3 linked regions of the Schizosaccharomyces pombe genome follow. Changing the gene in region 2 together with the main gene of any one other region gives a genetic interaction. Each region holds a gene or a part of one and is shown on either strand. Other genes may lie near its edges.

What was found.
Region 1: mutations in myp2 (region 2) and chs2 are lethal when combined (synthetic lethality), as found in Schizosaccharomyces pombe (one study listed by BioGRID).
Region 3: mutations in myp2 (region 2) and cdc8 impair growth when combined (synthetic growth defect), as found in Schizosaccharomyces pombe (2 studies listed by BioGRID, with this or other methods).

What each region holds. Positions count from the first base shown.
Region 1 is NC_003423.3:1,093,490-1,097,247, reverse strand, and holds the start of chs2 (chitin synthase-like protein 2), read right to left. Parts: upstream 2,028-3,758; 5' UTR 1,891-2,027; coding exon 1-1,890. Other genes in the region: SIN3 family co-repressor, Clr6 and Rpd3L histone deacetylase complex subunit Pst3, read left to right, coding at 2,595-2,640, 2,732-3,758. UniProt on the Schizosaccharomyces pombe protein: Plays a role in septum formation. Has no chitin synthase activity.
Region 2 is NC_003424.3:2,551,920-2,555,677, forward strand, and holds the start of myp2 (Myo3-like myosin II heavy chain myp2), read right to left. Parts: upstream 1,785-3,758; 5' UTR 1,747-1,784; coding exon 1-1,746. Other genes in the region: SPOM_SPAC4A8.06C (esterase/lipase), read right to left, coding at 2,094-3,758. UniProt on the Schizosaccharomyces pombe protein: Stabilizes the F-actin cables forming the F-actin ring that surrounds the nucleus during interphase. May work in conjunction with myo2.
Region 3 is NC_003424.3:4,318,634-4,322,142, forward strand, and holds cdc8 (tropomyosin), read right to left. Parts: upstream 1,603-3,509; 5' UTR 1,572-1,602; coding exon 1,554-1,571; exon of another isoform or gene 1,540-1,553; intron 1,495-1,539; coding exon 1,027-1,494; 3' UTR 614-1,026; downstream 1-613. Other genes in the region: ubiquitin hydrolase Uch1, read right to left, coding at 2,174-2,842; protein Nuf2, read right to left, coding at 3,249-3,509. UniProt on the Schizosaccharomyces pombe protein: Forms part of the F-actin contractile ring during cytokinesis.

The sequences.
Region 1 (3,758 bases), on a different chromosome or scaffold from region 2:
TGAGCTGTATGAAGTGGCATTGCATACAAAGTAGAAGGCCAAAAAGAAATTTGCCATTGAGAAAAAATTCACCAACTTCTCAATTGCAAAGACGAGCGATTGAACGGTGAGCAAAAGGAATCGAAAGAACTTGTGCCGGGTAGTCCATAAAGAAAAAAAATCAACTATAACATAGACAGCAAGACTAAAGCTACTGTTAATTTCAGATTTTTTAGACTCTAGTATTCCAGCCATTGAATTGGGCGCTTCAATAGTAGCACAAGCTTCAGGTACATATTGCAAATGCCATTTTGCATCTTTTCGGGTGATTACTTTCCAGAAAAGGAGTTGTTCTTGTGCCAAAAAAGCATTGGATTGTAAGATACCTCTCCTAGGAATTTCATATTGGTCTTGCTCGAAATAATCGGCTAGTGGTCCAGGGTTTGGATATGAATCTTGCAAAGCGACGTATCGAAATCCATAAATTGCGTTAAGCGCATTTGAAATATAACCCATGCAGCTGTCGTACGGTAAGCGAAGATTGTTATGGATCATTTGGTCAAAATGTTGAGAAGCAATGAATGGATTTAACAGTCTAAAGCCAAACTTTCCTGTATCAATCGAAGTTTTACCACACATTCCTCCAATAGTGGAATCAACATCAAAAGCTTTCCACGCATGATAAATAGATGTTGGGCCAAGCCTTGCACCGTTACGAACAAAGAGACAAACCTTGGGACGAGCAAGCGATGCTATACCATTTAAAAACCAGCGATGCGAGTTATAAGTGCCTAGACGACGGTCCTTAACACAGAGTAACATCTGCATTGGAACGTTTCCGTCACCAGTCGCTGTTGTAAGATTGAGTTTCTCATCAACGTTGATGGTACTTGTGAATTCATACATATGGGATAAAGTTCTTTTTCCGTTTACTCTCCCTTTAGCAATGTGAGGTTGATACACTCCTATAGATGCAAGCAAGTCCAAGACGTTTTGGTGAACAGTGTTACGGCCATCAATTACGACACATACTAAAACCTTTTCCCAACTCTCATTTCCCCATACCCGCGACTTAGACCGTGAGCAAAGATGTTTTAAATTATTCATGATACTAGAAAGAGAAATGGCAAAAGATGCCAAATCCTCATCGCTAAGTGTTAGACAAACAGCAATTTGAATGTCGCGACCCGTGGACCATGTTCGTAGTTGAAGCCCATTATTATTCATATCTTCTGGTTGGCAGGTAATGGCCGAATACCGCAGGAAACTTGCTTCATCGGGGTTTTTTTGCATAAATGGACCAAGCATGCCACGTAAGTCTATTGGCGTTGGGCAATCAATAGTCAGGCTTCCACATAATAATGGAACATCTTTGGAATAGTGCGAACTTGATGAATTCAAGCGATCAATCGAGGTGTATGACTGACTGTGCGTCATTGGTTCATTGACGGGCGAAGCAGAGATTTCTGAATTAAAGTCCAGATACTCATTCTTGGAGGAATTTTCATAACCGTCGTCTGAGTTACTATTCACAGTATGGGTTGGTTGAAGAGGAACGCTAAAAACTCCAGTTTTGTGAAGTGGAGGGATAGGTGGCTCGTGTTCATCAAATGAACGCTCCTCAAAATCGTAAACTGAATCTGTGTAAGAAAAAGCATCTTCTTCCAAGGTCCTTAACGTCTTCATATACTCGACTTTTTGATCGTCAGGAGATTTTATCTCATCATACTCATCGTAACAAGGAAAGCTTTTAGAAGAACTCGAACTGAGGGTCGAACTAGAATATGCTGTTTCTTCATCTACACTACTGTGACTGACCCAGTTTCGTAAATCCTGCGAATCTTGAGTGTCCTTAGGTTGCAAGAAGGACCGGTGTTTAGCATTAATATAGCTGGGATTCTGAAAACTCATGTTGATGCTTTCAAAAATTTCCACAAAGCAAGAAATGAATAAAAGTGTTTGGGTTGTTTGATATTATAAATTTTCCAGATAGCGATAATTCCTTGCTTTTAGAGGGCTTAAGACGATCAATACCAAAGCCTCAGAACAAGCAGAATGATGGACCACAGCTTGCTTTTATTCCATTCGAAATTGTTACTGATTTCATTGTTTACAAATTTAGAAACGATGTTTGTTTACGAAGCAGATGCCATAGTAACGAGGTAGCCATGCAACGCGTGCGTAGCCTATGAGAACGTACAGGAGATGCAGCGCCATAATTTGTACTGCGTACTCCGTAAAATGAGAATAATGAGCAAAAGGGTATAGTATTTTTTCAACGTTCAAAAGTAACGAACAGTCAAAGATGCTAGATGGGGCAAGGAAACGACTAAAAAATTGATGTCAGAATTTCTTGACACAATAAACATGAATTAAAATTCTTTACTCTAATCAAAGAATGAAATTAATGATTTTTAAATTCAACTCAACTGCTGATGTTTTGGAAATTAGTTAAGGTAGGCAGGTGTGTGTAGCACGCACGTTACGTGATGACATTTACTTGTGTCAAACACAACAAACCAATCTTACCTTTCCCGTAACGCGATTCAGACATTGCAAGACTGCAACTATCGAGATAAAGCAGTCATTTCTGTTGCATTTATGAGTTTTTAACCATGGATGTAATGAATGTGCCTGTCGACTCAGAACGCGACAATCCTGGTAAGTTTTTACATGCTTCTTCTGCGAAACATCATTTCGAGAAACAATCTTGGTTTATGAGGTTCGTTTTTAACAAATGCTAATATTATAGGCGACAAAGTTGAGACACAATCTGATAAAAACCATTTACCAAAAGCGTCACCGTCTCAATCCCAGTCACCTGTAAACACCTCTTTGCACAATGGTGATGGAAAAGATAATGGCGTAGCTACTGAACCTGTTGAAAACAAACAGATTTTATCGGAAAGAAGTGTAACTCGCGATGATTACGAAAAAGGAAAAACCATAGTTTCCTCGCTCGCCTTATCATCGATTTCTGGTAAAGATGGCTCCATTTCTTCACAAAATGCAGAAGGATTAAGTTCTTCTTCTAATCGTCCTTTGGATGTGAACGATGCGCTTTCCTATCTTGAGTTAGTAAAATATTATTTTTCTGAACGCCGAGAAATTTACAATCGATTTTTGGAAATTATGCGCGATTTCAAATCTCAGGCGCTTGACACCTTGGGAGTTATTAATCGTGTATCAGAGTTGTTTAACGGTTACCCTCAACTTATTGAAGGCTTTAACACGTTTCTTCCATCCGGTTACAAAATAGAAGTACAATTGGACTCTTCAAACACTAGTGTTGTACGTGTAGGTACTCCTATGCACCCACTTCCCCAGCAGGGCGTCCAAAGTACATTGCCCGTGGCTCCATCTAATGAAGATCAGCGAACAATGGAATCCACTAGTCCTACTGACTCTCAACCTCAGCCATCTGCTCCAAATTTAGTTTCCAGTACTGAAAACGAGAAGCCTCGGGTAGATTTTAACTATGCGATTGCTTATATGAACAAAGTTAAGGCTCGTTATCCACCAAATTCCGACACGTACATGGAATTTTTAGGTGTTTTGCGCACTTATCAGAAAGCACAAAAGTCGATTTTTGAAGTGCGTGCGAGGGTCGCTGAAATTTTTAAAGATTCACCAGATTTGTTGGAGGAGTTTAAACTTTTTCTTCCTGATAATGTTGATTCAACTGAGCCATCCACCCCTAATGTTCAGAAATCTCCAAACCGTCTTCCTCCGGTTGGGAATTTCAGTCTTCCCCCTTCTGCACCTGTACGTGAAAAAAG
Region 2 (3,758 bases):
TTCGACATCACCAGCATAATGTTTTAAAACAAAGCCTTCACTAGAAAACTTTTTAGGACGGTATATATCGGATTTACCCTTAAAAAGAAGGTGAAGTTTTTCTGTGAATGTAGCATCAGTAGCCATTGGCATAACACAATCCTCGTCGAGGCAAGAAAAAATACCAATGGGCTCAGATTTTTCGATAGCATCTATGGTGGGCTGCAAATCATTTCCGTAGTCAATAAAATCCCATTCGATGCGTTCTTGTGTATATTCTTCTTGTTCCAGAACGAACATGTAATGATTAAAGAATTGCTGAAGCTTTTCATTTGTAAAATTAATACAGAGTTGCTCAAAACTATTAAAAGTGAAAATTTCAAACCCAGCAATATCTAAAACCCCAATGAACCCATCATGTTCAGACTGAGAATAATACATAGTCTGATTCAGACGTTTCACTAAATGCGCAAAATTACGCTCATAAAGGCCTTTGGCTAAGGATTGTAGTGTATGGACTACTTGTTCACGTGTTCTTGCCGTCACAATCCATTCTCGTCCAGCTTTGGACTTTGGGTGTAAAGCTGCATTAACAAATCCATCAACAGGGATTTCGAGTAAATGGCATAATTGATCAATTTGCGTTAAGGAAGGAAATCTAGCTTGCCCCGAACGATCAGATGCTACTTCAATATTTCCTATATGAAGAATTGAAGCTATAATTAAGAACAAACTGTGAATTTCGTTATTATCAAACCCCAAAGTTCTGAGACCAAAGCATAATTTTTGAAATTCTTTGCCATCATCGACTCCATTAATATGCTTGAGACCATTTTTTAAATATGAGTAATGGTCAACATATCGATCAAGGAAAAGACTTTCAAGCAATGATCCATCAGCACCTCGAAGTAGTTGATAAAAGACGTGATAATTGCGTTCATTGGAGGAAGGATGTATAACGCGAGATTTTTCCAAAAGGTACCAGTCTAAATTCGCTCCAACGATGCTTCCATTATTAGAAAATTCAATTCGTATGAACTTGCCAAAGCGGGATGAGTTGTTATTCCGGACAGTCTGAGCATTCCCAAAAGCCTCCAACACAGGATTCGTTTCAAGGATTTTCTTCTCCAACTGTTGAGAATCGCTTGTGGAAGCATCAGTGACCGATGTTAGGTACTGAATAACCTTTTTAGTAGTTTCAGTTTTTCCAGCTCCTGATTCACCAGTAACTAAAATAGATTGATTGATCCTCCTTTCTAATAAACTTCGATATGCGGCATCAGCTGTTCCAAAAATATGGGGTTTAGTTTCTTTAAACTGTTTAGATTGGTATTTTCGCACAACATCATCGCCATAAATTGGTAAATGACAATAGGGGTTTACAGCAACGAGAAACAAGCCTGAATAGGTATATATTAAATCTTTCTCATAACGCTGAGTAAGGTTGTTAACTACTGATGGTTCGTTGAGACATGTCAACGCAGCCATGTCATCAACCATATCAAACTTCGGTGGATTTACTTTTTCAGCATCAAATCCATCCACAATTCTTTCCGAGCCATCTCTTTCTAATTTCACCCTATATTTTTCTCCTAAATCTTCAACTATCCAAGCTTTCACGAATGATTCCTTCGAATCAGGAATCCAGATCCATGTCCGTTCATCAAAAGACGCGTCTTTCACGGCATTGCAATGTTTTTCAGCATCTACTAGCTTTTTGATAATATTATTGTTGTCGTTAGAGCCATTTTTTGAAAGATACGACATTAAATTAAGAAGTATAACACATTGGCAATGCTGCAGCTGTATAAATCATGACTGCGCAGCAATGTAAATATTTATGAATGTTACTATGGCAACGAAATACAAATGGATTGTTTACAATACTATGTAAGAGAATACTTATAAATGGTTAAACAATAAATTATACCTGTTAAAATGTAGTAAGCCAGTCGTCTTTTGCCAGGATATTAGGCACGTATGTGGATATCCCTTAGTAATCTTCTGATAAAATAAATAAGTTGAAGTAAAGTGAATAACTAAAGAACTCAACTTCAACGAAAAAGGAAATCGAGAAGAGATAAAATAAAAGAATGAAAACAAGTCTCAGGCAATTATTGTTTTTTTTCGGGGCTAATTTTACAGTTAGCTACCAAGGCAGAAAGTGGAGGATTTTCCCCTTCCATCGTATACTCTTTGGGCTTGACTAAATACCCATTTAAATCGGCGTGTTTAAATTCAGCGAAGTACCGTGCTGGCTTTTTAGTGTCTTTACTGAGCAAGATTAATTCAACGTCAATCCAGCGAATGAGTGCTTTCACCTGTATAGTACCTAAAGCACTTTTCGGTAAATTTAAACATTGAATTTCATCTTTAGGCTCCATCAATCGTTCCTCACCATTTCGCGAAATTCTTAAACGAACCATATCTTCATTAGCATGAGACGGATTACCATCAAGGTGTTTATTAGGCGATACAAAAGACGAATCATGCTGCTTTAAACACCAATAAGCAAAATTAGCAGCACGTCGGACCATAATCCCAGCTTCTTTTACAAAAGGAAGAGCTGTAACGACATGACAACAATCATCGTACATTTCCAAACGAACCTTTGTACGCTTACCATTGTATACGTCTGTATTCATTTTGTGAGCGATGTACACTATTTCGTCTCGTAAGCGTTCGCCCGATCCACCCAGAACAAGTGACGGCGGTAAACCACCAAGGTTTTCAGTGAAGATAGGACTGATCAGAGGATGCTTTAAATTTGCATTAGAGGTATAAAACTGTACTTGAAAAGGAAATGTAGTCAAAATGTTAGGGTCTAAACGAGAGTCCACATTGTCAAAATCAATACGTGCATGTTCTTTATCCATCTCTTGCAACACGGGGATCAAATTTTTGATGGTCTGAATTTTTTTACGTATGCTGTTTTCAATAAAGTTAGTCAATTCTTGTTTCTTGGAATAATTTAGTAATTCCTTTTCGGATATCGTTGAGAAAGAATCTAAGTTAGTAATGGGCCAATATCTGCTGGCTCGGTGATGAAATCCTTCGCTTGGAATATAGTCAGCAGCATCATCTGCAACTACAGAAGGAAGACTATGAGTCAAATCAACCCAAGGGGAATCATAAACTACTCCAGCAGGTAAGGGTAATTTTGAATCTCTAATCAAAACTAGTGATGCAACGATTAAACCAGCACCTGAGCTATCGCCCATAAATATTATATTTTCTGGCTTGGTGCTTTTAAGTAGATACAAATAAGATGAAAGTACATCATGCAAAGAGCAAGGAAAGGGAAATTGCGGTGCTAACCGCAGATCTGGAGCAAAGGTTCTAGCACCCAGAGCTGCAGTATGACGCTGAATATGATAAGCATTAGTACGAACAGTACTTAAATAATGAGCACCTCCATGAACATAAAAAATAACTTTATCACATTTGAGATTGTGCCTTATATGATGTCGCCTTTCAATCCACCAGGATTTTAAAGGTGACTTTCGATAAAGCCACCAGTTTGAGCCCCCAAATTGTTTAATGCCTTCTGGTCCCAAATAGTTTCGAATGTAAGAAGCAGAATCTGATTCTGACTTTGAATCTATAGGTTGTGATGTAAATTTAAACTTAAACTCATCCGTTAAGCTCCTTGAGCAAAAATCTTGAACAACTTCTACTTTATAATCCCTGCTATCAATTAAAAATTTTTTTAAAATCGACACTCCCAAATCAAGCATGAAAGTTCTATTCTTGCGTAACTCATGATGAGCCAGGAAACG
Region 3 (3,509 bases), 1.8 Mb from region 2:
TGAGCACCCTCTTATTAAGCCAAATTAATAATATTAAATGTTCCTTTGGCCTTCTTTGCTCTTTGGTAGTTGACAAGCCGACGGTAAGTCTACATTAACCAAAGTAGCACATTAACGCAAACCCTGTACCTCGTTATTCCGATAAAGGTTTATGTAAATTTATATCAAGTAGAACATGTAAATGGCAATACATGTCAATACATTAAGATATTCTTTTTATTTACGTTAACATCTTATGTTTTTAGTTGATTCAACTTTGATTATGCTTACGATGCCTAACAATGCTCTTCAACGTGTACGGATATCGGATTTCCAAAAAAAAAATAATAAAATAAAATAAAAGGCAATTTAACAAATAGGTAAATTCATAGAAAATGTGAGTTTAACAGGTATTGTGATTCTGCAAAATAGATTGATTTTAAAAAACCCGCGCTGAAGATGAATGTCATTCATACAATAAAGTAAGACAAACCTAACTATAATGATCCCCTAACAAAAGCACGACCACTCGTTTGCACGAATTACTTTAAGGTAGACGTGTATAAACAACTTACAAAATACCGATTTCAGCCTAGCAAACTTCAATATTTACATCGTAAAAAAAAGGAAAGATAAAGACGGTATTTATCATATAGAAGTCTTTATTAAAGAGTTGGCATTCGAAAAAAAATAAAAGCTTATCATTCAGATAACATTAAGACAGTTATGCTTACAAAATGTTATTTAAGTTAGAAGGGAAAGTGGTGGGAATCGGGAAGATAAGGGCACATTTCTTCTCAATTTACAATACTCAGACATTTGATATCATAAATACTGATTCTCGTAAAAAGGTAACACCAGTAAGTTGACTAAAGAAAGAAAACAGTGTTCCATACCAAAATCAAATCATTTTTCGCTAAATATAAACCATAAAAAGTGAGGTCGAACTTAGCTAGTTGACAAAGTAAGAAAGAAAAAGAATGACAGCAAATAGAAGATATAAAAAAGGTGGTATGTTTCTTCTATGTTCGTCAAGCTTTTCGCTATCTACAAATCCTCAAGAGCTTGGTGAACTTCATCTAATTCAGCCTTGACCTTAGTATACTTGTCAGTCATTTCTTCTAGTTTCTGTTCCATATCATCACGCTCACGCTCTAGAGATTGGACGCGACGTTCAAAATGCTCAGCCTTAACATCAGTTTGACGCATCTTTTCGGTGGTTTCGCGAAGTAGCTTGTCATTAGTTTCTAGTTCTTCCTCTAAAAGCTCAACTTTACGGCTCAACTGCTCGGCTTCCGTCTTTTGAATATCTTCATTGTCGGCTTTGAGACGTAACTGCTTAGTTTCTTCTTCTAACTCTTCGAGTTGAGACTCGGCGGCTTCGCTTTTCCTCGAAAGAGACTCATATTCTTGCTCTTTAAGAGAAAGTTGAAGTTCAACTTCTTTCAACTTGGCTTCAGCTGCTTCAGCACGAGCGACAGCCTCATCAGTCTCAGCACGAGCGGCATTAATTTTCTAAATAAAAAGCAAATATTAGCAACTTGATTTTCCAATGAAAAGCTATCATCTCATACCTCTCTAAGCTTATCCATTTTCCTACTGTTTCCTTCTTTCCTTGATGGTGGAGGGAAGATACCGATGGGTGTGTTTGACATGCATATACCACGGTAAGGGTGGTGAATTAATTGACGGTACAAGAAAGTTCTATTTACTAATTTATTACAAAGAAATACACACAAGCTCTACAGTAAAGCGCTTTGTTCATCAAAGAACAAAGAAGTTGAGGCTTTGCTTACAACACACCAGATTGTTAATTTCATCAAAGAAATAAGCGTTAAAAGAGCAAAGTTAAAAACAGTAGTCAAACATTTGTAAATTATAATCGAAGTGTTCCTGCAATAGATTTTCAAGTTTGGAATGAAGTGATTTAAACAATGCCTGATTTTTGTATTTATGACTGAAATTTTAAGAGCTCTCTACTGCTAAAGAAAAATGGCATATATCAATAATATTTAATCATTTAGTTATACAATTATAAAGAGGTCCGCTTGTTAATTTCATATTTACACACATACAGACTAGGAATTAGTTGGAAACAGGTATTTAAGAAGCAATATTTTAAATGGCTATTATCATACTTCCAATTGCCAAAGTAATCATTTCATTAAGTTTCACAACATTTAGCTTACATAGGTTACGGAGTCGTAATTGCGACAAGAGAAAAGAAAGGAGAATCAATACTCTGAATATAATTTTTAATAACTGAAAGTACTTCGGCATTCAGTAAATCACTTTCAATTTCAGAATGTTGCACGGGCCCCTCTTGGCGGCCGTCTAGCTCATAAAAATGATTGTCGTCCTTTGATTTTCCCTTTACAAAACAGATAAAATGAAGATCAGTTTCTACATCTTCCTCAGACCCCTCTACTTCCAAAGGTGGACCAGCAAATGCTGCATGTAAAGCTTCAAGTTCTTTCGAATCCTCGATAAGCTTAGCCCTTTCTTCGATAGATGAACCTTCAGCAGTTCTGATTAGACTTTTAATAAAATCATTTTCATTGACTTTTCTTCTAAGTTCTCCATTCGAAACCGCATGTAGCAATCCAATCGTTCCGCAAGCATTTGGAATTGTTTGAGGGTACCACAAGACTTTGTCACTATCCTTTGGTAAAATTCGTGATCCTTTATATATAGTTTTTGTTCCTGAGGATGGAAAAACGAATAAAAGAGCATGGACAGGACGAGGGATATATTCGGGGATTTCCTCTAATGAAAACAGGTCAAAAACGCTAGCATCTTGTACACCGATTTTTTGTAAGTAAGGTTCCAGCACCTCTGGTGTATTTTCTAAAGGCCTCCACATTGTAATTTTTCTCGAATGATAAATGGCTCTAATTGAGGCTTTTTTGATCAGGTTTGGAAGGCGTGGCAGAGGTCTCAGAAGTCAGCAAAGAGGCAAAACACCAAAGTTTGACAAAGTTAATCGAATATCTTTAGATTGCCAATTTTGGGAATCTACAAAAAAGCTTTACTATAATCAGTATCCTATACTTCAATATCCTGTCACGTTCAGCTATGAAGATGACTGTAAAAATAGGGATTGTTCCATAGGTATATTATAAATAGAGTCATAAAATATTAATAATTACCAAGATTTACCTATATACATTTACTGTAAAATCTAAAATTCTGGCTTCGAAGTCCAACCAACGTTCTTATAGGTAGTGTTGAAATATTTGCACGAATAAAGATTTTTCAAAATGAAGATACTAAGAGTTAGAAGACCTTAAGTTTCTGAGAAGTTCAGCAATATAAAGCTCCACGTGCGATTTCAATTTTTCGAATTCCATAGTTATAGAGGATATTTGAGACTCCAGTTCTTCTCGCATTCCAGCAATTTTTTGTTCGGTCATCTCTATCATGGCATTTTTCTTTTCAGTCTCCTGAATCTTTTTATTCCTTTCTTGGGTAATTACTTTGTATTCTTCCCGTATGTTGTCCATTCGTTGTTTGGCAGCCTCAAGTTTTTG